4 linked regions of the Neurospora crassa OR74A genome follow. The protein of the gene in region 4 interacts with the protein of the main gene of each other region in a biochemical or structural test. Links are inferred from orthologs where the notes say so. Each region holds a gene or a part of one and is shown on either strand. Other genes may lie near its edges.

Evidence for each region.
Region 1: the proteins of uvs-2 (region 4) and ubi form a complex in vitro, tested with the Saccharomyces cerevisiae proteins (2 studies listed by BioGRID). The link is inferred for Neurospora crassa OR74A from reciprocal best matches to the Saccharomyces cerevisiae genes RAD18 and UBI4.
Region 2: the proteins of uvs-2 (region 4) and mus-8 form a complex in vitro, tested with the Saccharomyces cerevisiae proteins (12 studies listed by BioGRID, with this or other methods). The link is inferred for Neurospora crassa OR74A from reciprocal best matches to the Saccharomyces cerevisiae genes RAD18 and RAD6.
Region 3: of the proteins of uvs-2 (region 4) and pcn, one has a biochemical effect on the other in vitro, tested with the Saccharomyces cerevisiae proteins (11 studies listed by BioGRID, with this or other methods). The link is inferred for Neurospora crassa OR74A from reciprocal best matches to the Saccharomyces cerevisiae genes RAD18 and POL30.

Annotation. Positions count from the first base shown.
Region 1 is NC_026506.1:3,141,831-3,149,802, forward strand, and holds ubi (ubiquitin), read left to right. Parts: upstream 1-3,213; 5' UTR 3,214-3,488; intron 3,489-3,556; 5' UTR 3,557-4,213; coding exon 4,214-4,235; intron 4,236-4,305; coding exon 4,306-5,201; 3' UTR 5,202-5,753; downstream 5,754-7,972. Other genes in the region: NCU05996 (C6 finger domain-containing protein), read left to right, coding at 1-797, 864-964; NCU11215 (RING-10 protein), read left to right, coding at 6,048-7,223, 7,288-7,972. UniProt on the Saccharomyces cerevisiae protein: Ubiquitin exists either covalently attached to another protein, or free (unanchored).
Region 2 is NC_026504.1:1,992,114-1,999,411, forward strand, and holds mus-8 (mus-8), read left to right. Parts: upstream 1-3,294; 5' UTR 3,295-3,617; coding exon 3,618-3,659; intron 3,660-3,750; coding exon 3,751-3,815; intron 3,816-3,898; coding exon 3,899-4,123; intron 4,124-4,196; coding exon 4,197-4,320; 3' UTR 4,321-5,009; downstream 5,010-7,298. Other genes in the region: NCU09732 (acetyl-CoA acetyltransferase), read right to left, coding at 671-1,813, 1,875-2,024; kin-1 (kinesin heavy chain), read left to right, coding at 6,776-6,898, 7,025-7,298. UniProt on the Saccharomyces cerevisiae protein: E2 ubiquitin-conjugating enzyme that accepts ubiquitin from the ubiquitin-activating enzyme E1 and transfers it to a E3 ubiquitin-protein ligase.
Region 3 is NC_026501.1:9,445,688-9,452,845, reverse strand, and holds pcn (proliferating cell nuclear antigen), read right to left. Parts: upstream 4,452-7,158; 5' UTR 4,216-4,451; intron 4,095-4,215; 5' UTR 4,093-4,094; coding exon 4,051-4,092; intron 3,955-4,050; coding exon 3,235-3,954; intron 3,162-3,234; coding exon 3,144-3,161; 3' UTR 2,789-3,143; downstream 1-2,788. Other genes in the region: NCU10351 (pyridoxine kinase), read right to left, coding at 1-815, 892-1,308, 1,473-1,483, 1,548-1,604; NCU09240 (hypothetical protein), read right to left, coding at 5,153-5,853, 5,915-6,366, 6,421-7,158. UniProt on the Saccharomyces cerevisiae protein: This protein is an auxiliary protein of DNA polymerase delta and is involved in the control of eukaryotic DNA replication by increasing the polymerase's processibility during elongation of the leading strand. Involved in DNA repair.
Region 4 is NC_026504.1:5,738,294-5,745,853, forward strand, and holds uvs-2 (postreplication repair E3 ubiquitin-protein ligase rad-18), read left to right. Parts: upstream 1-3,690; 5' UTR 3,691-3,866; coding exon 3,867-4,413; intron 4,414-4,482; coding exon 4,483-5,441; 3' UTR 5,442-5,500; downstream 5,501-7,560. Other genes in the region: NCU05211 (hypothetical protein), read right to left, coding at 1-2,469, 2,560-2,650, 2,703-2,881; NCU05209 (hypothetical protein), read right to left, coding at 5,656-6,524, 6,589-6,784; NCU05208 (hypothetical protein), read left to right, coding at 7,309-7,398, 7,490-7,560. UniProt on the Saccharomyces cerevisiae protein: E3 RING-finger protein, member of the UBC2/RAD6 epistasis group. Associates to the E2 ubiquitin conjugating enzyme UBC2/RAD6 to form the UBC2-RAD18 ubiquitin ligase complex involved in postreplicative repair (PRR) of damaged DNA.

The sequences.
Region 1 (7,972 bases), on a different chromosome or scaffold from region 4:
CGAGAGCTGCTTCCAAGTCGACTGGGTCGAGTCGACCTTGACTGACCAGGAGCCTATCGATTTTGAGATCCGCACTGAGCGCCTCGACGTTGGTCATGAGGGTGTCTCTGTGGAGGCTCTCTCCGAGTACCTCGACAAGCATGTCGATGAGGGCTTCGAGCAGTTCATTGACGACCATTTCGAGGGTACTCCCTTCATCACCGAGCTCTTCAAGACCGCTCATAGGTTCTACGTCAAGGAGCGCCTGCCTGTCATTCGCAAGGCGCTCAAGCTTGTTGTGGCTTACAACCTCACTCTTCACATTACCATGGTTGAGCAGCCGCCGACGGAGCAGCCCATGGAGGGCCAGATCGATGACGAGGATTCCAAGTACTTTGGCAAGGTTGTCGCCCCTGTCATGATCAATTTCCAGATCAAGTGCGCCATGGCCGATATGTGGCGTGAGCTCCAGAAGGAGGTCCTCGAGGAGCTCTCTGCTCTCTACTCTTCGGTCTACAGCGGAGAGCGTCTCAAGAACTGGCCTACTATCTTCATGCTGGCTGCCATCCTCTTGGCTGTCTGGGAGGAGATCCAGTTCGACTGCCATTACCGTGTGCCTGACCCTATCGCTGTCAACAAGTTCTGTGACGATATGGAGTCTACTCCTGTTGGTGTCATTGTTGGCCTCTTCCACGCCATCTCTCAGAAGCTGCCCGCCTTCACGGAGTGGGATACTCGCAGGCATGGTCAGCTGCTTAATAACAACGTTGCCGTCTGCGAGGCCATGACCGAAGTTAGACAGCATGTCCTCAAGCATGGTGAGTGATGACCCCTCATTTAATGTCAGCATGGTGTGACCCTACATACTAACCCCGCGATAACAGAATCCTACCTTAGGACCCGTCAAGAAACCAAGTTCGACCGCTATGACTTTGACTCACTATCAAACAAGTTCCTGTCGAAGCTGGTCATTCGGGCCAACTAAGGTTGTTTTCTTGCTTGCTGCACTCTGCCTCTTTTGGTTGCGATACCCGTTATCCACGTTACGGTTACAGCACTTTACAGCAAAGCTCGCAAGAGCTGGTCTGTTCCGGTTTCCTGTTTTCCTCTTTATCCTTATCTCATGGGGCCATTGAGCGACGGCGTTCTCATCTTTATTTCATTATGGCTACTATTTTCTATAGTCAACCATCTTCTCCCTTTTTCTGTTATCTTTTGTGGCATTTTTTTTGGCCGCGCACACTCACTTGGTGGCTGGTCACCACCGCGAACAACACGATACGAAATGACTGACGTCCCATCATGACGGATCAATATTTGATGAATACACATTTGACGAAACCCCAACGAATCTACACAAAACACACCATACACTACTACGCATACATCGCAAAAAAGTTAAAACCAGCACGATCTGCATGTCTGGCACTTTTGATAGTTCAGTTGGGAGAGAAGAAGTCGCTCACGGGAAAAGGAAGGGCATGGGATGAAGGAGGGTAAGCGAGTGGAAAGGGTTGTTTGAAAGGATCGAAGAAAAGCACAACTCAAAGGGGAGGAAGAGGAGGAAAATGGGTTTGCATTGGGTATCTTGGCGTTTTTTTTTGTCTATCTGATTTGGTCTTTTTCTTTTGGTTTACCTACATATAGATATGGATTGATAGGTGGACTTTCTTGCATAAGCGCGCGCGGGCAAACCGCGACCTAGGCGAGAAATCCTCTTTTTGAGAAATATTTATTGGTTATTGTTAATGAGTATTAGGCTGTTCGAGTGCTTGTTTTGGTGTGATGTTGTTGAGTGTACTACAGCAGGCAATGTTCCCTCATCAGAGAAAAACGAAGAGAGTGGTTGTTTGTTTAAGGCCAACTTTCATCCACAAGTACACATTACCTGGTTCTTCACAGGTTGTCATGGAACCGACTATGGGAAGGGCCACAGAGCAAACGAGTTCTCGAGTCTTGTAGAGTTGCCTTGGGTTGTGTGTACTTGTTTCATTTCAAAGACGCAAGTCATTACCACGCAAAGAAAGCCGTTGGCTCGTTGGTTCTGGATGAGTGGAAAAATGCATTCCAACTCTTACGATAGAGCCTAGGCCAGACGAGTACATAAGTACTCAAGATCAATGAGTGAGAAGGATTGCGAACGGCAACCAGGCACCTGCATTGAACTTGGTTCACTACACGCATTGACAATAAAAAGTATCATGTACACCAATCTGATGACGTTCAGGGTTGTCATTTGATCATGGGATGTCACAACCCGAGCCGAATGGGTGTATTGAACGGACCGTAAGGACGATTCCCGCATTTGCGAAGACGGGAGTTGTAGGCGTGACTGCGCGGGAGTCCCCGGGATCCCGTGCAGGAGGTGATGCCGGCCCCGGTCTCACCCGAGGTGGTTGGCAGGCCTAGTAGCGGGCAGGGCGGAACTCGTCACTTGGCTCCAGGAGTTTGTGATGTTGTGCTGCACAGCTTACCTCCCTCTACTGTACATATTACACTCGTGCGTAAAGGACCCAGCATTCTGATCGATGATGGTAACTCGCGATACTATGGATCATGCGTGAACGGAGGCTAGAGACCGTCAATAGCGGAGCGACCCTCCTAAAGTGCGGGGCGGTGGAGCCAAGAAAGAGGCCACGATAATGCTGGGCGATAACGGGAGGAACGGAGTCACGACATCATCGGTCGGGGGCTGGTGGGAACCCTTATGGCCAGGCACTGCAGTCAGGAGGTCTCCCATCTGTCACCGGTCTTGAATCCTTACCGGCGTCAACAGCCACGGTCGGTCGGAAAGCCGATAGAAAAGCGAAAGAGAATACCTGGTAATAGCTCCCCGTTCCCGTCCGGTTCAGTTGTCGGTGTCCCGCCATGAACACGGAGAACTAACGAAGCTCATCGTCGCACCAGACGGAGCGCTTACCTCAGCAGCCTTTGCAAAGGTCGGTGGAAGAACCAACCGTGAGTCCGTGACACCAGCTGAGCATTCTGTGGTTTACAGTGCCAGCTGACTCGCCCCTTTACTGTCTGGAGCTGAAACGATGCCTGGCCGGGATGCACCTCCCGTCCGGTTGTTCTTTCGTTCGACGACCAACACCTCGACCCCTTTGGTGACACTCTTTGTGGTGTTGGTTAAAGACAAAGTCACAGGTCTCTTTGATTTTATATACTCATCTTCATGTCTTCTGGTCATTTCCTCCATTGCTGGAAAATTGCGATCCAACCGTTCACTCTTCCCTGTTTGCCTCTCGGTGCCCTCGATCGGACCACGTCATTGACCGCTCACTTCGTTGGGGGGTTCGCTTATCAAATGCGGGGAACCAGCAAGGTGCACGTCGGTATTCCATGATGCCAGCTGGACTGCTGCTGTGTGAAGCATCGAGCAAGAGGCCATCAACAACCTGATAGAGGGAACAATTATAATAACATGGAGAGAAGCTTGTCAAGATGCTGGCAAAGTAACGAGAAGTCGAGATGGCACTCTCGGATTTGTAAACAACTGAAACTCGAAGGTCCGTCGTCCAGCCACATGCAGATCATTCTTTGGCTTATTCATCCAGAGAGAACCTAACTGAAGCAGGGCAAACAGCCCGGCTGAGGTGACTGACGCATTGACGGGCAAACGGCTGGGTGAGTGCCCGCCACTGCAGAAGGCGTTGACAGTGCGATCAATCAGCCGCGGTCACTGTTGGGGGGGATGTCCAACCACTCCTGCCAACGGGCAACAGCCAACAGTCAAGGGGGAAACTGTCGTCTGACTGGCTTCTTCTCGCGCCTTCCCTCCACTTCTCTGTCACTCCCAACCGCCAAGTGGCTTGTGCGTGGCCTGTCAGTGAAGGTGAGTGACACACCACTCACACCGTGGCAGGCGTTGCAAACGGACCAGTGACGATCGACTTGGGACCTGGCACCTTTCCGCTTCCACTCCAGTCCCGTCACCTCTTCCCCTTCACTCAGCCCCCCCGCTTCGCTTCCCTTTCCAGGCAGTGGAAGCCTGGCCCCTCCAAGTTCGCCATCCTGATTCCTGCCACTTCCGCCGCAGCCAGCACCTGAACCTACTTATTTAATCCTCCCCGCCCATCTGCATCCCCGATTCCATTTCTTCCGCTTTCACCATCTCTCTCCATCGCCATCATCGCAGGAGTGTTCATCCACGCACATATCATTCCCGCCACTCGATTCTAGTCATTTCGCTTCATCCATCAACAGTCCATTCGTCCACTGCACAACCCCCATCATGCAGATTTTCGTCAAGACTTGTAAGTTATCGCACGCTCACCGCATCATCACTTTACCATCGATCGACCGATGCTAACTATCTCTTCGCAGTGACCGGCAAGACCATCACCCTCGAGGTCGAGTCGTCGGATACCATTGACAATGTCAAGCAAAAGATTCAGGACAAGGAGGGCATTCCCCCCGACCAGCAGCGCTTGATTTTTGCCGGCAAGCAGTTGGAGGATGGCCGCACCCTTTCCGACTACAACATCCAGAAGGAGTCTACCCTCCACCTTGTCCTCCGCCTGCGCGGTGGTATGCAAATCTTCGTCAAGACTCTTACCGGCAAGACCATCACCCTTGAGGTGGAATCGTCCGACACTATCGACAACGTCAAGCAAAAGATCCAAGACAAGGAGGGCATTCCTCCCGATCAGCAGCGTCTCATTTTCGCCGGCAAGCAGCTTGAAGACGGCCGCACTTTGAGCGACTACAACATTCAGAAGGAGTCTACCCTTCATCTCGTTCTTCGTCTACGCGGTGGTATGCAGATTTTCGTTAAGACGCTTACCGGCAAGACGATTACTCTCGAGGTTGAGTCTTCCGACACCATCGACAACGTAAAGCAAAAGATCCAGGACAAGGAGGGTATCCCACCTGATCAGCAGCGTCTCATTTTCGCTGGAAAGCAGCTCGAGGATGGTCGCACCCTCTCCGACTACAACATTCAGAAGGAGAGCACCCTGCACTTGGTGCTCCGTCTTCGTGGTGGTATGCAGATTTTCGTCAAGACCTTGACGGGCAAGACGATTACGCTGGAAGTCGAGTCTTCGGATACGATTGATAACGTGAAGCAAAAGATCCAGGACAAGGAGGGTATCCCGCCTGACCAGCAGCGTCTGATCTTTGCTGGTAAGCAGTTGGAGGATGGCCGGACCCTCTCTGATTACAACATTCAGAAGGAGAGCACTCTTCACTTGGTGCTGCGCCTCCGTGGCGGCCAGTAAGCGGATTGTCGTCTTTGTTTCTGATTCTTGATGACGAGCAAGGGTTCATTTGGGCGTTCAGCGTTTATTGGGTTACTTATTGCATCCATGGGTTGGGAAATGATGACAACCATGAAACAGGGCATATCTAGCCGAATCTAATGGCACACGCTTCATACATACAGCGATGCCATAATAAAGACTATATTTACGGTCTCAAACATGATGTCTCTTGGTGATTTGCTTGTGTCTCAATTCGTGAGCTTTTGTTATTCCCGTCAACCTGTCATCTGGTCAATTGGGGATGGAGTCGGACGTGTAAGTCAAGATGGTGGTGCAGTGGGTTGGTACACACCGTGCGAGGTGACCGTTGCGTGGCCGAAAGTGGCGCCCTTTTTTGGTGGACAAGATGCATCATACGTGAAAGATACGTACCGACCGCCGAGTTCAGTTCGCGCTAGTCCGGCCGTGGAGCCCTCCCTCCCCCCCTGTGAAGGACGATCCAACGTCCAACGTCCAACGTCAAGTTCGTAGTTGTGGAAGGTTGAATGTGAAGAGGACATCCGGAAGGACCTCTCATCCTCTCTAATCACCAGGGCAAGAACCATCACTGCATGGAGTTTGGGCACACATGAACCTGCAGAGATAGGCATCGGCGACTTGATTGACGTAAGGCCCGCGTCCAAGGTGTCTTAATCGACTCTTCATCTTCTTGATCCTTCTCTGTCCTTCTCTTGCTCTTCCACTCTTACAGTCAACGCAATACTCTCAATATTACACTTTCATCAGATTTTTCATCAAAGCATTGTTGTTTCTCGACCATCACAACAAGGAATCATTTCTTTGCGACCATACCATGAATATGCCATGCCTGTCTACCGCTATCATTTGAAGTTTGAGCTCTACCCCTCGCCAGATCCGACGCATAGCGCGCCCGCCGCAGCATTCCACCCCGATATCTGGTTACCTACCAAGGACTCGTCCATATTTGACGAGCTCCCCGCCCACCCTCGTACCTGGCAGCTCAAATCTTTGTCTTCAAGGCCATCGTCCAGGAGGAAACAGAATCGAGATATCATCCAAGGAGAAGGGCAAATCGAAGAGCAAGAGAAGAAGGGCCATTCGGAGAAAATTCCTCGAGCCTTGCCAGAATCGCATTTGGGACTTCTCAACGACAGCTCAGACCCCGAGGCGGAGGAAGGGACGGAAACCGGCGGAGTTATCGATTGCGGGGCATCCAGACCAGATTGCCAGAACCCCGAAGACAACAGGAACATCGTCAGGCTTTCAGGCAAGCAATCGCGCGCGACTTCTCCTCCGCCAAGATTCACGTCTGGGCTAGGGCCACGGACGGCAGCTAAGGACTGGCGCTTTGGAAGGATCAGCATCGAGAGCCTTGATCTGCCACGGGACGGGCATCTGCAGCGACACGCACAAACCGCGGCGGAGGACAATACTCAGAAGAAAGGCAAAGGGAAAGACACCCACAGCGCCACTGCTGGAACTGGAAAACCGGTAGCAGCCAAGAACAACAAGTCAGCAATGGCTGAGTCACTGAAGGATCAAGGACAGCAATCTCAACAAGAGAAAAATGGCAACCAAGAACGTGCGTCCCACGGTACGCCAGCGGCTTCTCTAGGCCCGAACCTCGGTGGCATGGGCCAGGCCACCAAGGGACGATACATACCCCTCGAAACCAAAAACACGGAGGTTGGGTGGGGCATCGTCCATCTGTACCGCGAGGCCGATGAGAGCAGTGCTCTTCGCGCCGGGGTGGGTGCAGGCAGCGCCAGCGGTAGCAACGGAACTGCTAGCAGCGGTGACGACGGCACTATTCTTTGCATCACTGCCGTTCCCATGTACATGAGTCCGAGTGACTTCCTGGGCTTCATAGGAGAAAAGTGGCGCGATGACGTGAGCCACTACAGGATGATCATGACGAGCAAGCTGAATCGGTACATGGTTTTGATGAAGTTTAGGGATCCGCAAAGGGCGAGGGATTTTAGGGTTCAGTTTAATGGGAGGCCATTTGACAGTATCGAGGTGAGTGACTCCTGGACTACATGATTTCCTGGCGTTGCTAATGGCAACTTTCTCGAAACCATAGACCGAGTTTTGCCATGTCGCCTACATCCAATCCATCACCGTGGAATCACCTGGCGGCCAGAAAGGTTACAGCACGATCACGAGCAACGCGGGCGGAAATGGCAACCCAGTCGACACCCTTCCCTCACCCAGCAACACCCTCAACCTGCGACCCTTCCCTCCCCCTACCCCCAACCTGATCGAGCTACCAACCTGCACTGTCTGTCTTGAGCGTATGGACGATACAGCCGGTCTCATGACCATCCTCTGCCAACACGTCTTTCACTGCACTTGTCTCCAAACCTGGAAAGGCTTCGGCTGCCCTATCTGCCGCGCAACCAATCCCAAGCCTACTGCAGAGGAAAGCAACCAGGAAAACCCGTACTCGCGACCCTTCGGCTCGGGACCTGTATCTAACCTCTGCAGCGTCTGCGACGAACCTTCGGACCTCTGGATCTGCCTGATCTGCGGCAACGTTGGGTGCGGCCGGTACAAGGGCGGTCACGCCAAGCAGCACTGGAAGGAAACTGCCCACAGCTTCAGCCTGGAAATGGAAACACAGCACGTCTGGGACTATGCGGGCGACATGTGGGTGCACCGCATGATCCGCGAAAAGGGCCAGGGCAAAGTGGTCGAGTTCCCTAGTCATCATATCCACAACAGCAACACATCTTCAGAGCGCAACAACACCGCGCGTGCCCCTGCCC
Region 2 (7,298 bases), about 3.7 Mb from region 4:
TCGTGGCCCGGCCGCGCCAGGGCACACACCAAGAGCGAAAGTCAGTGTGATCTTGTAGAAGGATGAATGGCGGGGTGCGTCGTAATGTATCGTCGTAACCTAATATTTTGATACTTGAGTCGCGGAAAAGCTAGAGCTGGAGTAACAATGCCGAATGATGCAATAAATAACTTGTTGTAGTTCTTGTTCGATGTTTGATTTGCTGAAGACAAAGGTGCAGACCGTTTCGGTGAAGCTGCGCGATCTCAAAGGTGAAGTTAAGGTGAGTGTGTTTGCACTGTGCTGCATTGATTTCAATGCGGCGCGTTCGTCTTCTGACCGGACGCTTAAACCCTAACCCGAACGCTATAACTGTGAATACCCTGGGATCTTTGTTGCACGAGTTGAATTTGGTCACGTTTACTTATATGCTCAGTTGTGGATTTACAGCATCACCCAGATCATCAAGCTCACAACATGGCACTGCAGTTTCCTTACTTCTTCAAATACATTCTGTCGCTTTGACCCAACAAGATGCAGCTGTAACTATGTGCAGACTGGCCCTGCTTCTGGCAGCGCATCATACCATTTGTACATGAAAGAAAGCCCAACCAACTCCAAAGCTTTGCAAATCTTCATCCTTATACAAAAATTCATCAAATACCCATCCGCAACTCCACAATGTTCCCGGTTATACCGACTCGATCCTCTGGACGACCATCGCAGTGGCCGCACCTCCACCATTGCAAATAGCAGCTACACCGTACTGGCCAGGCTGGAGTTGATGAAGCAAGGTAACGAGAATGCGGGATCCAGAGCTACCCAAGGGGTGGCCAAGGGCAATGGCGCCACCAAGAGGGTTCACCACAGCGCCTTCGAGACCCAGAATCTTCTCGTTGGCCTTGATGACCGCGGCGAAGGCCTCGTTAAACTCCCAAATGGCAACCTGGTCCTTGCTAATGCCGGCACGCTTAAGGGCAAGCTCAACCGCTTTAGAGGGCGCAATAGGGAAGTCGATGGGATCCATAGCGGCATCAGCTGAACTGACGATACGGGCAAGGACCCTTGAGCCCTTGCCGAACTCTTGCGCGAGCGACTTATTGCCGAGAACCAAAGCACTGGCGCCATCGTTGAGGGTGGAGGCGTTGGCGGCCGTCACGGTACCGGTGCCATCGCGGACGAAGGCAGGCTTGAGGGTGGCAACTTTGTCCAGCTTGATGTCGTTGTAGCCTTCATCCACCTCGATGATCTTGTCACCCTTCTTGCCCGGAACGGTGACCGGGACAACTTCCTCAGCAAACTTCCCGGAAGCCCAAGCCTCCTGGGCGCGCTTGTACGACTGGATGGCATACTCGTCCTGCTGTTCACGAGAGATTTGGAACTTCTTGGCAGTGTTCTCGGCGCAGTTGCCCATGTGGAACTCGTTGTAGACGTCGGTCAGCCCATCCTTGATAATGCCATCCTCCATCTTGATGTGACCGAAGGGGGGCATGCCGCTAGCGCGTGGAACGTAGTACGGCGTCCTTGTCATGTTCTCCATACCACCAGCGACCTGGGCCTCCGCTAGGCCAAGCTGGATGTTTTGCGCCGCGAACACAACAGCTTTGAGACCGGAAGCGCACACCTTGTTGATGGTAATGGCCTCTACGTTGGGGGAAAGGCCAGCAAAGATAGCGGCCTGGCGTGCAGGTGCCTGGCCAACAGACCCCTGGAGGACGTTTCCCATGTAGACATCGGTGATCTTCTCAACGGGGATACCCGACCTCTTGACGGCCTCCTTGATGGCAACGGCACCGAGCTTGGGAGCAGGAACGGTGGTGTAAGAGCCATTGAACTGGCAGACGTTAGCACAAGCGCTGTGTTGTGGAAATGGCTGATTTTACGGAGCGCTTTACCTTGGCCGTTGGTGTCCTCACACCACTGAGAATGTAGGCATCCTGAATCTGCTGGCGGAGAGCAGACTGGGTGGAAAAAAGACGAGCGCAAGCGACACGGGAAGTGCGCGAAGCCGAGCCAGCGGCTGTCCTGGCGTGGCTAAGAACCATTCTGATGTCGGAAGCTGGTGACGATGAGTTACAGGACGTAGGGGCGGTACTGCACAGCGCAGATGTCGGAGGGGAATCTGGCGAGAAGGAAGAAAGGAAGATGGCCGAACGGGGAATGAACAACAGCACAACAGGAGAGGCAACACAAAAACAGGAGCAGGAAATAATTGGGAGTAGGGACAGAATCACAGGGAAGACTTTCTTCTATTGTTTAAAAATGATTAATAAAACTACCAGTTGGGGAGGCGATAGCTAGGTGGTCTCTTCCTCTCCTTCCCGCTTTCTTTTCCTCGGAACTTGTCAGATGCCATGATGGCACCGGTCGGCTTGTGACGGTACATGTGTGGAGAGGATTCACACCAAAGCGATGCTTCACCCCGCCAATTGAGCGCCAAACAGTGGCCGCCACCGTGGTTCCTCCGCGGGGACCCCAACGGGCGCAAGGGACACAGAAGCTTGGTATCCGGGGTTTCCCGTGGAGCCTGCCGCTGACCGACAGGGGAAGCTCCTCATCCACAACAACTGAAGAATGCCCTGCTTGGGTCATGAGCCCATGAGTGCCGTACCCACGGGCGGATGGAGAAACATCAGATGGAGCCAGAGTTGAAGCCGTAGCGGAGGGGAAACGGTCAACGGATCGATTCGGGGGTGGATGCTCTCCAAGCAGTTCATTCACTCTTTCCGCAGCCTCCTGTTGCCCAGCGCCGGCATCATACCTAGCTGTACCGGATACTGCCCGCATAAAATCAGGGATCAAAAGGCCAGGGCACTGCACGCTCAAGAGTCGTTTCGCATCACTTAACAATCTATCCCAGTCGCGGTTGTCCCTGCAATTGCCATCCCGCGCGCGTCTTTGGATGTTGGGCAGAAGCGAACCACTTTACACGCGGGAACAAAAGCCGAGCTTCCCAACGCGATATGTTTGAGATGTTGCGTTGGTTCCAAGCAACGATCCTATTGCGGCGTTGAAGTGTTTTCGGGCAGCTGCCGGGGGATGCCACAGGAGACAGCTTGATCAAATCACTGATTCAACCCGAACAATTGGCTGTCATGCTACAATTTCTGATGTTTTCTTGGGATTCATTTGTCAGTTCGATTAGTTAGATGTTTGGCTGGACAACCATTCGGCGGTGGCGTGAGAGAAGGTGTGTGACTGTGTGATCCCATTCCATCAGCTGGCAGTCACCTCGCGCACGAGCCACCAGTCGCTTCATACCCAAGTGTAATTGGCCGAGAATCAGAAAAGTGCTATTAACAATCCGGCGGCAATTGTCAACCGGGGCAGTCACTGTTCATTGCCCCTGCCCTCGGCGCGCGTTCTCCTAGCTTCTTTGTGACGCCCCCCTCCGGGCAATCAGTTGGGTATGATAAGATAGCGGTCGTTAATGCGCGTTCACTTGTTGGCTCTGCTGGTTTCCGTCATTCATCTCCGCCCCTTCAAATCAGTTCGTTTGATTGTCTCTTCGCTATTCCAACCACGAAACCCATCTCGACTTCGAACAAAGTATCGCATCGATCCTACGTACTCCATCAACCTTGTAGCTTTCTCTCCATACGCCTGGGCCGACTTCATCATCCATCACCAAAGCCAAAATGTCAACCGCTGCCCGCCGCCGGCTCATGCGAGACTTCAAGGTGCGAGACATCATGAGCCACCCCGTTGGGTTCACACCGCTTGATGACTTGGCCGCCATGAGCACAATATACTCACCATGTTCCTCGACAGCGCATGCAAACCGATCCTCCCGCTGGTGTTTCCGCCTCTCCCGTACCCGATAATGTTATGACATGGTAAGGAGAACGATCTTTGCTGCGGTGTCGTTATGGGCGGTCGACCCCCGGCATGGCAATGACTGACATGAGTCTCCATATAGGAACGCCGTGATCATCGGACCCGCCGATACGCCCTTCGAAGATGGCACCTTCCGCCTGGTGATGCACTTTGAGGAGCAGTATCCCAATAAGCCTCCTTCGGTCAAGTTCATCAGCGAGATGTTCCACCCCAATGTTTACGCCACTGGCGAACTTTGTCTCGATATCCTTCAGAACCGCTGGAGTCCTACGTACGACGTCGCGGCTGTTCTTACCAGTATTCAGAGGTACGACTGCATAATATCTTGTTGACGTTCATTTTGCGTTGTGTTATTATGCTGACAAAACTGTCTTGACTAGTTTGCTCAATGACCCGAACACAGGATCGCCTGCAAACGTCGAAGCCTCCAATCTATACAAGGACAACCGCAAAGAATACCACAAGAGGGTCCGGGAAACTGTTGAGAAGAGCTGGGAGGATTGAATAGTGACGACATTTATCACCACGGGGCCCTCAATGGCAAAAAGCCAATGATTGATCTGGGTGCTGCAAGTCGGTGTTGATATTGCTCACTGGGCTGTTCGATACAGATCTCTTGGCTATATCAACAGTCAGTTGTCGACCGACGACGAGTTGCGAGATGATCCACATTCGAGGATACCCGGCGGTTTGGCCTTTTAGGGCGTGAGGGTGGAACGGATGTCGTGATATTACATTGCATTTGGGAGGCGTCGTTCTTTCGGGGCGTTTTTGTTGTATTTCAAATATCCGCATCTCTCGCCTATTGATGGCTGAGAGTCAGCCTGCTTGTCTGCAATGGAGAGAGCGGGAGTGCTTGGTTTTTCTCACTCTTTAGGGCGATTGTCGGGTTTGGAGTTTAGGCGCTCGTATCATACCAACACAAGCACATCTGGCGAGGGCAGTCCCTGGATACCTCAACTCACCCCAAAAAGCCCTAGATAGCGTTCTTTTCTTTTGTCTTAGAGATGAAGAGATGGCATAGTGTCTTTCATTGCAAAAAGCTCACCATGTTATGTCGGCCGGCTTAGATGTACGAGTTTCCAGAGAGTCTTGCATTTCTCAGCTTTCCTCTGTTTCTTTGACGAAAGTGTACATGACCCCGCTTGGTGCCTTACATCCACATGATTTATATCACCTATACCTAAGGCTGAGAGTCAAGTCTAGCGTGCACATTTCGAACTGCGGCGTTGTTTAATACACGCTCACGTTAACAGGCATACCTTGGATGCAAGGGTCCCTGTGAGAGTGAAAGACAGGCTGACTACCTCTATCGTAAATGCCCAGAAAACGCAGGGTTAAAGGGCTGTCAGATGCTTTTGGCGGCCGTCAGAGAGCATTAGTGTACGTGGCTTCCGAACACTTTTAACCCTGCAATCTGGAAACAAGGTTCTCAAGTCTGTATGGTACGTCCTGGTCCGACTTACCCAGCTCTACATGGCTCTTTTGGAAGACTTCTCATAACTTGCATAGGTACGATTTTATGTTGTAGGACTGACGCTTTGCGTATGATCTGCATGAGGGGTGAGGTTGTTTATATATTGTGGGTAGCTGAACTTGGCTAGGCTCCTCTACCTACAGCGAGCGGTAGCCTCTTGAAAGCTCGAATTGACAACGTAGAGAGGTATCTTGAAAATTGATTGCAAGTTACCCAAAAGAGCAAAGAAATGGCCATAGGCAACTCGAACAGCAGGAAAGGGGGCGGGCATCTCCAAGAATACTGGCTTGTATACTTGTGCCACTTGAGTCTGCTAGAAACGTGCGATCAAATTACCTCAGGGAATGGGTTTCAGATTGGGGTTTTCCATGTACACTAGAGGTAGGTACCCTCGGGCGGAGCCTCCCCCAATCCTGTTTGAAGCTTTGAAATATTTCTACAATTGATGAAAATATCTCCTCCATGGCACCCGAGAGTATTGGCCGAACGGGCATTCAATCTTCAGGCAGGTACTTACCTTACACTCGGAGGTAGAGGCAGAGGTAGAGGTAGGTAAGTAAAGGTACTGGTCTCGCAGTCCGCCTCGCAGCACCAGCCGCCCCGAGTGCCGTCCCGCTCCGGTTGTTAGGTAAAGGGACAGGGGCAGCAGGCACAACCGACGGGAGTCGTCCACTGGCGACGACTGGCAGCGGTTCGCTTTCAGGACCCCTCCCGCCCTTGGCTGCGCACCGTTCAGACTGCGTCTCAGGCTGCGACTCTGCACTGACCGACAAGACCCCACTATCTTCATCGCGTTTCGACATTTGTTCGGTTTCTTCTAGACCCTTAAATTGCCTTGGGTACCGACCACACGTGTGATGAGTACCCCTTCCTGCCCTTCCATCTCGACGAGAACATACGGCGGCGGCGACAGTAGCTGCGGATACCCCTTTCAGCCCCTTTTTGCACATTCTGCACACGTTCGCCTTTTCGCCTAGCCCTCAAGGTTTGCTTTGCTTTGCTCTGCATAGGTAGCTTTAGGTTTGCTGTCTTCTTCCATCGCTGCGGCCCAAAGGGGTTCAGTTACCTAACGAAACGCCAACGTGCCTCGGCGGGCGAGTAGTGTGTCACATTGAAGCCCACCTTCACCTTTTGCCCTTCTTCACACCGCACCCGCAGCCGCGAACCGCACCGCAACTGCACCACACCACAACCACCGCTCACGACGGACCGCGGAGGAGGGAAACGACGACGAGAACACGCGCCTAACCGGAACTCGTCACCTTTTGTGATATCCGGATCCAACTCGGAGAGACACCTGGACCCCGACTGACCGAGACCCTGCTTCTCTATCTCTCTGCTGCAGGCGGCCGGGCTCCTTGTCCATCTCCCCTCTCCCCCCCCCTCTCTCCCCCTCACTCCACCACCCATCCTCCCCGACAACATCGGCCGCGCCGCCTTTCATGACAGTGCGCTACCCAGCGCTGCAAGGGAATCGCCATAATGTCGTCAAGTGCGAATAGTATCAAGGTCGTGGCTCGATTTAGGCCCCAGAACAGGGTCGAAATCGAGTCCGGCGGCCAGCCCATCGTCACCTTCCAGGGCCCGGATACCTGTACAGTCGATGTGAGCAACTTCTTCTGCCCCCTAGTTCTCGCACCTCACAATGCCCTTGTGCCTGCCTTGTCACATCCTTCACGCGCCTGAATGCAGTCGCACCGCAGTGGCTAACCCATCTGTTTTTGCCCATAGTCGAAAGAAGCGCAGGGTTCCTTCACCTTTGATCGGGTGTTTGACATGTCATGCAAGCAATCCGACATCTTCGATTTCTCGATCAAGCCTACCGTCGACGATATTCTCAATGGCTACAACGGTACTGTCTTCGCCTACGGCCAGACGGGTGCCGGTAAATCATACACCATGATGGGTACCAGTATAGATGACCCTGATGGCAGAGGTGTTATTCCAAGAATCGTCGAGCAAATCTTTACCAGCATCTTGTCTAGCGCAGCAAACATCGAGTATA
Region 3 (7,158 bases), on a different chromosome or scaffold from region 4:
CCTGCACTTCTTCTTCCTTTTCCGCTTCCTCCACTTGTTTTCTCCTCCTTCGTTCTTCTTCTTCTTTTATCCTCTCTTCCGTCTTTTCCTCATCTTCGCCACCATCGCTATTACCATTCGTCGTCGTCGTCGTCGTCGTCGTCTGTGTTGAATCCAGCCTAGGTTTCTTATCCACATGCCCATCCTGATCTGTCGTCCCATTGCCATTCGCATGTCCACACCCATTAACCCCATCCGTCATCGCCTTCTCTCGTTGAAGCTGTTCATCCACAAACCCCTTAGCCCTCTGCACCCTCCCCTTCATCCCCTCCGCCGTCTTCGTCAACACCTCATGCATACTCGCCAACACCTTCTCCGCCGCCTTGGCAAGCGGCAAGTCCAGCGCGTCCACTGAGTCATCTGACAACCACGATTCCCGTTCTGTCAAGTCTCCTTCAGTGTTATACACCGCTTCTCGCATGCGCACAAGCATCAAAGCGGAAAACATATCGCCCGTTCCGGAGAAGTAGCAGTCGATGGCGGGGAAGCTAATCTGAAACGCGCGCGGTTGGCGGGCAGAAGTCATTGTTGAGCCCACTACGCTGAGGGTCTTGGTGCGGGGCGGTTGCGATTGGCCTTGGCCTTCTTCTTGGGGTGTTGGTGTGGGCGCCGAAGAGCCGGGTACGGAGTTGGGCATGGTGGAGGAGACGGTAGTAGCAGCGTCGGGAAGGGAGACGGAAGTGATGATGATGTGCGGGATGGCGTAGCGCTCGTGCAGGACGGAGATGGCGCGGGTTAAGGAGGGCATGTCGACTATTTTGACTTCTGATAGGAGTCTGTTATCTGTTAGATTAATAACCCAACAACAAGAAGAGAGGGAAGGGGAAAGGGGAAGAAAAGAAAGGTACGCACTCGGCCTCGAATTGGTTCGGGAGTATCAGGTCTGCGTACTGCACCAGCCCTTTATATACCGGCACCACATCCTGCGCGACGTACAGACTGCCGTTATCGCCCATCACGGGGTCCAGCACCCAAAAGAAAGATCCAGGCTTCCCGCGCGCTTGAGCCTTTTCCTTAAGTTCTTTCGCTATCTCCCCCACGGCTTCCAGCGCTGGAGCACCGGGGACGTATCCGGACAGCATCATATCAAAGTCATCGAGGTAGGACTGTTTGAGACCGCGGTAGAGGTCGGTGATTTCGGAAGCGGACACGCGCGTGCCGGTGAATTGGCGGTAGCCCGTATGGTTGCTGAACTGCACCGTGTTGAGGGCGGCGACGTCGCAGCCAAGGGATTGCATGGAGAAGACGGCGATTTTGTTGCCTACGTAGCTGAGGGAAGACACATTGATGTTAGCCAATGCCTTTCTCTTCTTCTTCTTTTTATTCTTTTCCCTTTCGTCTCGTCTCGTCTCGTCTTGTCTGGTTGGGGCTCGGCTGTTCTAGTCGTCATCGGGGGAGGCCGGCGCAAAGCTTGTAGGTAAATCGGAACTTACCCAGAGACAACCTGAACACTCCCAGTCAGCAATTGATTTAACCTGGTATTAATTGAAAAGGAGAAGTAGACTTACATGGCTGGCGACCGCCAACACGCGGGTGTCGGGGACTGGAGGCTCTCCGTCGCTCATGGTGACCTTGGTAGAGTACTTTGTATGCGATTCGGCTTTTGGTTGTTGTAGAGGAAAGATCGAGCTCGAGACTTGTTGTAGAGACCTCCTTCGTTCGAATTGGTTATGTTCGGTAGATGTCCTACGACGTAGAGTGGCGGCGCAAAGGATCTCGATCGTTGGTAGAGAGAGGTACGTAAGCCGAGTAAGCCGAGCTGGCGATTCAACGAACGGTCTGTCAATTCGGTGATATAAATCGTCTCTGTAAAAAATAGTCGGCCGCTTGAAATCTCGACGATATGTTGAGAACTGGTGCCAAAGTTAAACGATGTAGAGAATGTTTGTTGTTGTCAAAAGGAACTAGGTCTGTCTCGAACTCGCAGAAGAAGTCCGAGGAAGGACTGCCAGTGGATGATCACCGGGTCAAGAAAAGATGGAGGAAAGATTCCGGAAAAAGAACTAAGCAAGCAACACTGTGACACACCAAGTGAGTCTGACTCTAGACCTAGTCAGTCAGTCAGCGGTGAAAGAAGAAGACCGTATATAGCCGAAAGATTCGATCAATTGGAAATAGTATCATCAATCAAATAAACTGCGATATCGCCCTCTCGTGCCACCCATTTGCCCACATCTTGATTCGAGTCCTCGAATGGTCCAGAAATTCGCCGCTAACGGTCATGGCACAGGGCCGGCCAGTCAATGACTCTTTTTTTTTTCCCCAGGAACCACCCATGCCCCGCCAAAAAGTTTCCTGCAGGGCGGGTTAGGGGCAACTTGAATGCGGAGTCCATTCAGCTGCTGGGCGCGCCCCGGGCCCTGGGCTGTTGTAGGCGGGAGGGGACGTCACGCAGGTGGTGGGTAGGTAAGTTACATACATTGAATGAACAATGTGGGGAAGCTGGTGAACACCAGGAACTTCATCGGATGAAAAAAAAAAAAAAAAAAAAAAAAAAAAAAAAAAAAAAAAAAAAAAAAAAAAAAAACAGTCGGGTGGAAGATTTCTGGAAAACACGCCGACTGACGGGAAGTGGTGATGTCAGTACTGGTGTACTTGTGATTGAACCCACTTCTGAGATACCTACTTTCAACGCCAAGCTGAACTCCCGAGAAGCGATGATTACCATAGTGATACAGGGAGGACAGTTTGCCGATATCAATGTTAGAAACCATCAGACAAAAAAAAAAAAAAAAAAAAAAAAAAAAAAGGAAACGACAACAGCATCGGGTTCCTTGGTGAAGGTGTGTTGTTGGAGGCCATCGCAATAATCATTGACACCTCGTCGTCTCCCCTAAACATTCATCTTCGCAGCAGAAAGAACAAAACGCCCTCTAAAACATTTGTGTGTAGTGTACTAGTGCCAGACTCTTTCAAAAACACAGATTTCTTTTTCTTCATATCCCTTTTCTTCTTCTCATCACTGCATCACCCCTTATCTTCTACATGACTTGCAATTCTCCTCCTCCCCATGATTTTATAGCAACTCGAGGTATACATGAAGGCATAGTTTCGTGGTGTTCGTAACAAAGATGTGGTTCGGTTGTTGGAGGTAAATGGGGCGTTTACTCCTCGTCGCCAATCTGTGAATCAGAACCAGTTAGCATCACGCCTGACAGAAAACAACCACCCAGAAAATGACAAACAAAGACATACCTTGGGCGCAAGATAGAACCTCAAGTAGCTGCTAGCCGAAATGTTGTACTCGACCAAAAGGGGCACCTCGTTGGAGAGGCAGATCTTGACCGTGCTCGACAGCGCGCTCGCCTTGCAAAAGTTGACCAGGTACTTGAGCGAGAACGTGAGGGAAACCGGCTCGCTCAACTCAATCTCGATATTCTCGCTGGGCTTATCAACGTTGGTGTGCTGGCGGAGGGTAATGCTGCCGTTGCCAATGTCGCCCTGGCAGCTAAACTTGACGCCGTCCTTGCTCGCCTCAATGTTGACGCTCTCGCTCATGGCCATGAGGTCGGTGGTGATGCGCTTAAACTCAGAAGACGGCATGCTGATGGTGGCCGCGTACTCGGTATCCGGAATGCCCAGGTGCTCCTGGTCAATGTCCATGAGCTTGAGGTCGTACTCGGAGATACGGTCGTTTTCGGAAGATTCGAAGACGAGGTTGAGCACGTCGGGCGCGTCCTCGGCCTTGAGCGTCAGGATGTCCTCGTTCTGGGCGGCGCGGAGCACCTTGGTCAGCGACGTCAGGTTGACGCCGAGCGCAATGTTGCGGTCGCACCGGAAGGGCGAGAAGGTCTCCGTCTTGAGCATCATGGACACGAGCGCGACGTGCGAGTTGTCCATGGCTTGCAGGGCGATGCCCGAGTCGTTGCAGTCGAAGTTGCAGTCCTGCACGAGGTCCTTGATGGCGTCGACGACCTGGACATCATCGTCATCATCATGACAGAGTTAGTGGGGGTCTTCTAGCTGGGAAAGGAAACAGACAGCACTTGACAGGAAGAGGACATGACATACCTTCTTCAGGATCGACGCCTGCTCCAACCGTGCTTCAAGCATTTCTGTTGTTGTGGTAGTCCTCCAGTCAGCAACCCATCACTCCAGTTCTCCAGCTTTTCTTCCTAGTGCCGGGCCAGCGAGCAAGCGAGCAGGCAGCTTCACGCTCAGACAGAGACGACATACTGATGGATGTGAATTACCGAACTCGACGGGGGAAAAAAAGACAAAGAGGGAAGAAAATATGCGCGCGCTGGGTATCACTTTCGGGAGAGAGAGGCGCTCGTGGTTTGACGAAGAAAGAAGAGAGAAGAAAAGATTTGGATTTGGGAAGAGTTATGGTTTTGTTCAAAAAGCTGCAACAGGCAGGCAATGGACGATAAAAAGAGAGGAACCACCAATACCACAGGTGGTGCCGGGACACCCACTTCGCGACTTGACGCGCCTGCTAATGGCAGCTAAACGCGCTGAGCCGGGGTTAGGCTTAATTGATTTACCGCTTCAGGCTAGCTCCCGGTGCACGGTCCCGTTCTCCAGCGCTGTTAGTCCGCTTTCAGGCGCAATCTTCGCGTTTTCAGTGGGAGCTGTCGCCCTGAATCCCCTCTTTCTGTTTGGATCGTGTCTCGACGGCAATGTCGAACCAAAGGTATGCTGCTCACTTCAAGTTCCGATGATATGACTTCAACTATTCGACTCCCTCATTTCTGCGCGAACTCTGTTCTACCTCCATTCTCCAATATATTTTGATTATTACATTATTTCACCTATCTTACACCCTCCCCCAACTCAAAAAAGAATTTGTTACAGAATGCCCGCCCAAGATCGTCTGTATAAACTGTGTAAACGCCGTTAAATTCTGTGTCCCACATTGCTCGCTTGCCTGCCCCAGCTTTCAAATGTTCCCATGGTCTGTATGTCCGTCAAAACGCCATTCTACCCAAAGTTGTTGTTGTTGTTGCTGTTGTTGCTTTTCAAGAAAACTGGCAAGCTGACCTTCTCGTCGTTGTTGTTCGCCCCTCTCTTTTGTCTGCGCGCAATGCCTTGATGCCATGTAAGATTATAGTGGTCAAAGAAAAGAAACCCGAAAGAAAGACAGCGCGAATGCCGCAGAGTTTGTCTGTCGTCATAAAGAAATCCTCGTCGGCGCCGCACTCCTGCCGTTTCCCCCGCCTGGTCCCATGGTTGTATGTCTCTTCGGCCTCAGATTAATCACCATCTCCAACTCCTTCAACATGCCCCTACTCGCTTCCGCCTTCTCTCTCTGCATTGCCCTCATCTCTCTCTCCTCTTTCATTTTCACCAATCTCTCTTCCCTGGTCAGCATACTCCTGGGCCGAGCCGATAGCGCAACCGCCTCAAACACATCCGGCTCGTTGGGACTTGGCGAGGAGTTTCGTGTGGGAGACGTCTCCCCGGTGAGCGCTTTCAGCGCATCCTCCGCTCCGCCGCCGGTTTCGTTCTCTTCGCCGACAGTGGTCAACCCGCTTAGAGAGGTAGCAGGCGAGTACAGCATGCTCATAGACGAAATACGTTTCTCGTTGCGGTCGATTCCCGATGCTAGGGCAGCCTTGCCATCCTCCCAGGCTTGCTGCAGCATCTTGAGGTCTTGGCCAATGGACTCGTATTGCGACAGGAGGTCGAAACCAACTTCAGAGATGTCGTCGGCTTCGTTGAGTGCTTTCTCGGATTCTTCACGCAATAGTGCCAGCTTGGCTTGGAGACCGCGGATGCCCGTCGATAGAGAGTCGAGCTTGCGGAATTGCGTTCGGCGTTTCTCGCGGTTGGGCGAAAGAGGGAACTTGGTTTCGGGGATAGCGGGGAAGCCTGAGTGGTTTTGTTAGCTGTTGTGTGTTTGTAGTGTGCAAGAATACGGGATGAAACTCACTCTCTTCATCGCTCAAGATGAGACGAAGCCTCTCGTAGCAATCACCTGTCAGACTGCTCAGCTGGCTGAGACACTGAGCCGCCGTCGACCACCGCACAAAGTCGCTGTTATCTCCCGTAGCCTCAAACGCAAGCAAAGCGCAGAGAAGCAGCTTGCGGATGGTATGGAACCGAGCAGCGGCAATTTTGAGCACCCGTAACGACTCCGCCTCCTCCGTCGCGACCTCCGGAAACCCTTGCATCGCATCGGAAACGTCAAAGTCGGTAATGTCGTAAACGTCGTAGTACTTTTCCAGATCCAACTGTTCCGAGAGTCCCTTCACCGCTGTCGTCACTTGGATGTAACTCTTGATCATATCGGCAAACCGCTGCTTGAGAGCCTTGCGCAGGCGTCCGCATCGTCTCGTTTGGCTTCGGTCTTCGATTCTGCTGATAGGCGGTAGTGGTGCGCTCCTGGTTATTGTTAGCCGCAGTTAACCCCAATATCCTCCGGAAGACCATACTCACAGCCTATACCCCCTCGACACCAACTCAACCTCCTGAACAAGCGACAGCGCCGCACTCGTAGCACTATCCCAATCCTGACTCTTCGCCACAAAAGTAGCAACCTCTGCCAGCGCCTTGTTCCGCACATATCTCAGCCACTGCTTCCGGATATAAAAGTGCGCCACCAATCCCACCGCAACGGCAACCACGACGGCAACCAGCACCCCCTTTTTGGTCAGACGAGCATATCCTCCCAAACACAACCACCTTATCCCCAACGCCACCACCAACGCTCCCGCAGCCGTCGCAACCAGCCCCGTCGAGTTCGGTAGTACGACATCGTTATTTTGCTCTTTCGAACTATCGGCATCCTGATTTCGGTAAAAGTGATTAAGTCCAGCAACCGAGTGCCCACTCAACAACTGCGAAGCGACGATCGTATATCGGAACTGCTCGATGAATTTCTGGTTGTCGGCGCGGTCTATCCTCGCTGTTACGGCTTTCTTTTCACCACGAACAAACGTCATTAGTTCAACACACATGGCCCCTATGATTTGAGCGTAAAAGATCCTTACAGAATAGGAGTCATGTAGCGAGCCGAGCGAGCTGTATCGCTTCATGCGGTGTGGGATCTCGAGTTGTATTGGCTCAGGGGCGTTCTTTCGGAACCGCTTGCGGACCATGGGGCGGCCTACGGGAGCGAAGTTGGGAGAAGAGGGGGGTGAGATGCTGTGTTCGGAGAGGCGGTCATCGTGGGCA
Region 4 (7,560 bases):
TTCCTTCTCCCTTTCCTCTGCCTCCTTTCGTTCCCTCTCGGTCGACGCTCGGGTTTTTCTCGTGGGTCGGATGGGGGTGGCGGCTACGGGGGCTTCGGCCTGTGCATGGTGAGATAGATCAGGATAGACGACATTATCGGCTGTCTTGAAGGAAGCTTCGGATAAACTGGGATGTTCTTCCAGTCGAGCAGTTGAGGGAGTCGTGAAGAGCCCCGTCAGTTTTGCTTCGGCATTTGAATGTGCACTGGTTGGGAGAAGTCCCTTGGATGATTTCATAAGGGACGAAAACTTGTTCTTGACCCTCTCCAGCGTGTTCTCGCGGAATGCCTTGGAGGGGGACTTGAAGGGCGAAGGAGGTTCGTGCGCTGGCATTTCGGGGAGGTTGGAAGTAGAGACAGATGCCTCTTTCTTGGGGCTGGCGGTTTTTGGCACGGGAGGCTCGTGCAAACTGGGTAGCGTGGGAACAGAAGCCGATTTGACATGTGTTGTTGAGGAAGACGCAGCAGGTGGTTCCTGGATGATGGGCGCTTTACTTGGTGACTCGTGCCTGTTCTCCATGAAGGATTCTCCAAGGGTCGGAGATGCCTCCCTTGCGAATAAGTTCATTCCTTCCATTGGCTGACTTAACCGTGTGTCTTTGCGCGCGTTCCACACCATGGGGGTAGACATATCCGCTCCCTTGCTAGGAGGTCCAATCCAGTCGTCATCATCGTCCAGCGGGAATGCTCCCGGTGTGGGAAATGCCCTGGGAGTAACCACGGGTGGCTTCTTGGGTGAGGATCTGGTGGGCTCCGGAACGGGCTGTGTCGTCGGTGCCTGTGAAGTGGATGCGTGTTGTTGCGTCGGCAAGAGGTGGGCTATCGATTTCGATGGTCTCGGTCCCATTGACTGTCCCTTGCCCAACATGTTGATCTGATCCTGCAATCGCTGCGTGTATGATTTGGCAGTCCTGGGTTCCTGGGTATGATCATCATCAATGTCCATCTCATCGTCGTCATCATCGAAATCCTGTCGGGTAGTATGGCCAAGACTCTTTCCTCCCGTCTGGCGATGGTAGAAGGAGGTTCGCGTTACGTCGACGTGGCTCGTCCTCGACATCCTAGTACCGAGGCTCTTCTTAGAGGTCATCGGCTCGCGTGCGGGAAGTGATGCAAAGTTCAGACTGCTCAGGCGCTTAACCGGGCTAATGGGGCTGGAGGCTTCCATGGACGAGTTGGCGTCATCGTCCACCTTGTCGTCCGCCTGGTCGTCCGCATGATCCTTCTCTGACTGGGCGTGTACAAAGGGCGCCGGAGTCTTGGGTTGCTGTTCAGTGACTGGCTCTGTCTCTGGCGATCTCTTTTTTGGTGACAGGACGGGAGCGCTATCCACAGGTGATTCCTCCTTTTCAAGCTCCGGAGTCTTTTCGGGGGAGGGAATCTTCTCTGGTGAAGGATCCTTCTGGGGAGAGGCCACCTTGACCGGGGAAACCCTCTTCTCGGGGGAAAGGCGCTTTTCTGGCGATGCGAGCTTCTGAGGCGAGGCAGCCTTTTGGGGGGAGGGCGCATGGATAGACCTGGTGGGCGACGGAATGAGCATGTGGACTGGGCTGCTAGACCTAATCACATCAGGCTCGGGCGAAAGAAGTCGAGGGTATTGAACGGTAGGCTCAACAGGTTCTTCTGAAGGTGTTGTGGTTCGTAGTAGTTCGGCCGTCTCCTGTGGTGCGGGACTGGCGTGCTGCTCCGGCTCGGTGGGGGCTGGCTGAACCCCCAGATCCTGTGACTCTATCTCCTGCTGCTCTGGTTCCTCCTGCGTCGGTTCCTGGTTGAGCTCATTTGACGGCTGTATTGATTCCTCTGTCTGCTCCTGTGTGGGCTCTTGTGGAGGTTGTTGTTGTGGTAGCTCCTGCGCCGACTGCTGAGTGAGTTCCATGGTCGGCTCGTGTGCTGATTCTCCCATATCGACATCGACATCGACATCGGCATTGGCATTGGCATCGGCAACCTTTCCGACCTCGTCCACATCCATAATATCCAGCTGTTGACTGCCATAGTATCCAGAATCAGAGGGCTTGACCGGGGTAGGCGACTTGGAAAGAATTGGTAGGGGGGAGCCATTGAGATGTTTGATTGGGCTTCTGACTTTGGACGGGGTAGCGGCAACTGGCTTTGCTGGACTTGCGGGTGGTGGTCGCATGGGCGTGGTGTTGTTTGGCCTGACTGGGCTCGGTTGTCGTGATGGCGCGGCAACGCTCTTGACTGGGCTTGGCGACTTTGCGGCAGCTGATTTTCGCGGGCTCGCACGGCGCGTCGAGGGAGTCGTGGGATTCTTGGGGACATCATCGGCTTCGTCATCAGCTTCGACGTCGGCTTCCGGCGTATCGGGCCTGATCTTGGGCGTCCATGACGAGTTGTTCGCGGGCGGCGCGAGGACGAAGGGATTAGGTGTCACACCCTTGGGCGTCGCTGAGAAGATGCTGGCCAAGGGCTGCTGTGGGTTAGAACAAAATCAATCAATCAATCAATCACTCTTGGTCGCCCGTCGCAGAAGAATGATGGACGCTGTCTGGATGCTTACCACTCTCACTTCGGTATTGGGCCCTTTGCGAATTGTCCGCGGTGTCTTGCCTCGTGGTCGTGCTGGCGTTTTGAAGATTTCGGCAATGTTCCTGTTCCTGGTCAGCGAGACAAAGAGAGGGAAATAAAACAAAGACAACGCACATTTGGTTCTCGCCCAAGAAAATGTCCTCCATGTGCTCGTTCAGCCAGTCCATCTCATTGCGCGCCGCATACGAGAACTCTTCGACTTCCTCCTCTGCCACCTTGAGCGCCGATGCGCGCTCTTCTGCAACCCACGCTGCCGAGCCGACGGGCAGACGTGGTGCCTTGCGCATCGCCATTTTTGCTGTTTGTTTACTTTGGCGCCAAAAGTCAACAAACCGGATTTGGGGATGTGGGGAAAGCTCTAAAAAAAAAAAAAACCCCCAAGCAATGATCGGAAAAGAAAGGAATGGCAACAAGTGAGATGTTCAAAGCATTGGTATGATTAGTTGGTCAAAGAAAGGGAGGGAGGTGGGCGACGAGGCTGGCGATGTGGTATAATGGTGGTTGTCGGAGGGATGACGGGATTGCGTCGATCGAGTCAAAGCAACAAAGAGAAAGTCAAAGTCAAACAAACCAAGTAAAAAGCGAGGGATCGGAGACCTGACCTGACCTGACCTGGGATGGAGTTCCTGTTGCCGGAGCAAATTCCCTTGTCTTGGTTTCAATTGTTAGTACCCAATCCGCTCCAGTCTTTGTTTTGGTTGATGCCCAAAAGGGAATAGTCTGGGCTGAGGGGAGCGAAGAGGTGGGGCTTCTGTTTCCACTGCACTGTTGCAGCGCTTTTGTGCCTGGAAACTGAAGGCCCCAGAACACACCCCCGCTGCACGCCTTCCCGTCGCCAATTCACGTGCAGGCCCTGTCATTACCGTATCGTGGGCACAATCAATACCGTCATGGAGAGATCAAAGGTCTGCAAGTAAGAGGTTGGCCACAAAGAGCTGTAAATGTTGAATAATGGCAGTGCAGATGTTCAGAGAGCCATGTTTAACTTGAAACAAAAACACCAACTGAAAGAGCAATTCCCAGGGAAAAGATCCCGAGTGCTAGATACCCGGGTCACTCTTCGGTATTCTTGCTGACCCTCGGCCAGTTTGTGTAAATACAGTGTAATGGAATTCTCCTCCTCGACAAAGTCGCGACCAGTCTCGTCCGACTTGCAGACATCGCGTCTCACATCTTCCGTCTCTTCTACAATACTACTTCCAGGCTTCCAGGTAGAACGAAGGCAGCCATCACCACCAACAAAGTACTCGGATACCCTTCAGTACAACCGACATTATCATGGACGTCTTTGGCGATGAAGCCTTCAACGTCCCCGACTCGACCGACTGGCTGGGCACGCCCCTCGCATGCCTGATGCCCGTCGAACAGGCTTTCCGCTGTCACGTATGCAAGGACTTTTACGACTCTCCCATGCTCACATCCTGCAATCACACCTTTTGCTCCTTGTGCATCCGAAGATGTCTGTCCGTCGACAGCAAGTGCCCGCTCTGTCGCGCCACCGACCAGGAATCCAAGCTCAGAGGCAACTGGGCTTTGCGCGAAGCCGTAGAAGCCTTCAAGAACTCCCGCAAAGTCCTTCTCGAGTTTGCTAGGACACCACCGACCATTCAGGCGATACTGCCAGACCAAGCAGGCCCCAGTTCGCCATCAAAACGAAAGGCGACCGAAATGGAGGGGCCAAAAGAGGAGGACCCAGAAAGCAAGAGGCCGAGGAGGTCAACCAGATCAACAAGAGCCCGAGCCGCCGAGTTGACAGCGGCAATACTACAAGAAGAGCAAGACACCACACCTTCAGCCGACCCGGATTACGTCGACCAACCACCCGGTTCGTTTCCCTCCTCCCGCTCCTCGTGGGTTGCTTCTATCATCATCATCATCACTGACCTCCCACCAGACGACGGCCTAGTAGCCTGCCCCATCTGCCTCACCCGCATGAAGGAACAGCAAGTCGACCGCCACCTCGACACCTCTTGTCCCGGTTCTCCCCAGGCCGCATCCAAACGACGACCGATCCCCGCTCAAACACCACAGCCATCGACCTTTCCATCCTTCAACACCCGCCTCACATCTCAAACCAACCAAAAACCACCCGAACGCCTCCCCGCCCTAGCCTACTCCATGCTGCGCGACACCGCCCTGCGCAAGAAACTCTCCGAACTCGGCCTCTCCACCCACGGTTCTCGCCAGCTCTTGGAGAAGCGCCACAAGGAGTGGATCACGCTTTGGAACGCCAACTGCGACTCTTCGCGACCCAAAAAGCGGTCCGAGTTACTTCGCGATCTAGACGAATGGGAACGGACAGTAGGGAATCCCGGCACAGCAGCAGGAGGAGGAGGGGGGCAGCAGGGACTCGGACTCATGGCGAGGGCGCAAGCTACTGGAGCGCAGATCAAGGACAAGGAGTTCGATGGCAAAGCTTGGGCAACTCGGTATGGAGGGAGTTTTGGGGATTTGATCAAGCAGGCCCGGCAGGGGATTAAGAGGCAGACTTTGGATGGTAATGGGGAGAAGGCGGATACCAAGGGTGGGGGTGGGGGTGAGGATGTTGGCCCAGCTGAACTTCCGACACTACAAGCGAGAGAGGGGGAAAGCAGTGCAGCGCCAACACGGATGGATATTGTCCCGCCATCAAGTCCACCACGACCGGGGCAGGTGGATGACGCGGATACAGAACACGACGGGCAAGCTCCTGGAAAGGATGCTATAGCAGAGGATACCGCCATGAGGGAACAAGTCATTCCCGGGACTCCAGACAAGGAACGGCAGTGGGAGACGTCACAGCAGCAGCAGCCACCAATACCTGGGGATGCTCAACTGAGTGGGATGAAGAAGCCAAATCCAGAGACATGTTAAGGCCGATGGATATATTATGACAGGCACTCTTTTCTCCTACTTTACTAATTTACCCTGTGTTCTGTATGACATTTGTAGTCCATCCGGACTAGACCCACTTAACCTCTACACTAAAACCCACCCCACCCCCAGAAGACCCACATTTCTGTGGGCCGGGTCCGCTGAAGGATGTCGACGGGGGGTAAAAGTGATAGAGACTACTTACCACAGGAACCTAGTGACACCTACCCCCAACGTAAACATCGCCCCCAGGATACGACTCCCCCTTCACCCCGCCTCTCAACTCCTCTCCCATGCCCGCCCCCTTCAAAATTCCCTCCTGCCGCTTCACCTCCCTCACCACCCTCTCCGGATACAAGACCAAAAACCCCGCCATCACCACCCCCATCGGCACCCCATCAAACACATAGACAAACCACTCATGACTTGCCACCACCCCGTCCGTTCCCCCCAAATACTCGGCCCCGCGCACCACACTCCTGACAACCAACATAGCCCCCGCCACCTCCATCACACCAAAATACCACAGCCATCTCACCCCAGGGTCCATCAGCATTGCCCGTGACCTGGTCGGGTTGCGGTGCAGGCGCACGTGTAGGCGGCCGCAGGTGAAGAGGAAGATACCCAGCGCGAGGAGCTGGACGCACAGGCCGATTAGGACAATGATCTTGCTCAGGCGTTGCGCCGACTCGGTGCCGCTTGCGGGGAGGACGGTGCCGATGAGCTGGGTGAAGATTGCGGCCACGTCGGCGAGGACGTAGAGCCGCGTCGGGGAGCAGGTGCAGAAGCTGTTGGTTGGTTGGCAATGGGCGGTTAGTGACGGGGGGTCGGGGAAATAGATGATGATGGGGCGGTACCAGGAGTAACAGCATCGGGCGCAGCAGCCGCGGTTGTTACGGCGCCCGTGGTTGGGTTTGGAGGTGCCCTCGAGGAGCGCCGTGGAGATGCGGCCGTAGGACATGTATAGGGAGGCGGCGAGGAGGGGAGGGGCGACGAGGAGGAGCATGTTCTGCAGCAGCCAGGGGTCGAGCTTTGTGGGGTCGGAGTGGGCGTAACTGCGTTCGAGGTAGCCGAAGACGAGGCCTGGTTGTTTGGGGGTTGGATGGTCAGGGAGATTGCGAGGTGGAAGAGACAGGAGAAGGCTTACAGATGCCACCGAGGATGAGGGGAATGCATCCCCACGCCCGGAGCCAGACAAAGTAGACGAGGTGCGCGAGGGTGGCCAAGGCGAACAAGGCGAGAAAGAGGTGCGCGGCAACGTTGCTGGGTCGGTATTCCCAAAAGACCACCACCATGGTCCCGTTGACCACAGGGCCGAAGGGCGGGCCATCGTTAAGCGTCATTGAGTTGGGGAGGGTAGTAGAGATGCCAGGTTTGGGAGTAGACGGAAAGGGATATCAAAAGCTGCTGCTAGCCCTTTGCTTGATAACGGAACACATGACCAACACAACAAATACAGGGCAAGTCATTCCTCGAGGGGGGTTATATACCGTCGAGAGACAGGTGAATCGCATTACTTTCAGTGCTGATCAAGATCTGAACAGACGGTACCCTGGCATTCCATTTGGATGCTCACAGCCCCCTCAGACGAAACTGCGTCGTGGGCTGTGGGGCGGGCGACTTACACGAGATGTGGATTCACGGGCTTCCCTTTTATTCGGCTTTGATTTTTCGCACTTGGATCCGAAAAATTCACAGCCAACCATCCATTACACCTCAATGTCAACTTACTGTAGCCTCCTTTCGCAGACGCCGCAGCTCCATTCAAGGGCTTCCCTTTATTCGGGTTTTATTTTTCGCACTTTGATCCGAAAAATCAATTCACACCCAATCTCAACTTACTGTGCTCTAGCCACCTTTCGCAGAAATGGCGGCGTCGTCATCGACCAGAAAGTCCATTCAACCTCACCGCAAATCACGCACCGGCTGTAGCTCTTGTAAACGCCGCAAAGTCAAGGTCAGTTTTTCACCCGTTACCTACACAACACACAAAGATGCTTCTCGCCTTTTACAAGCGCCGTTTCTCGACTCTTGCTGACCTCCCTCAGTGCGACGAAGAGAAGCCATGTAGCAATTGCATCCGCTTCGGCCTGCCCTGCAATCTCGTCCCAGAAAATGC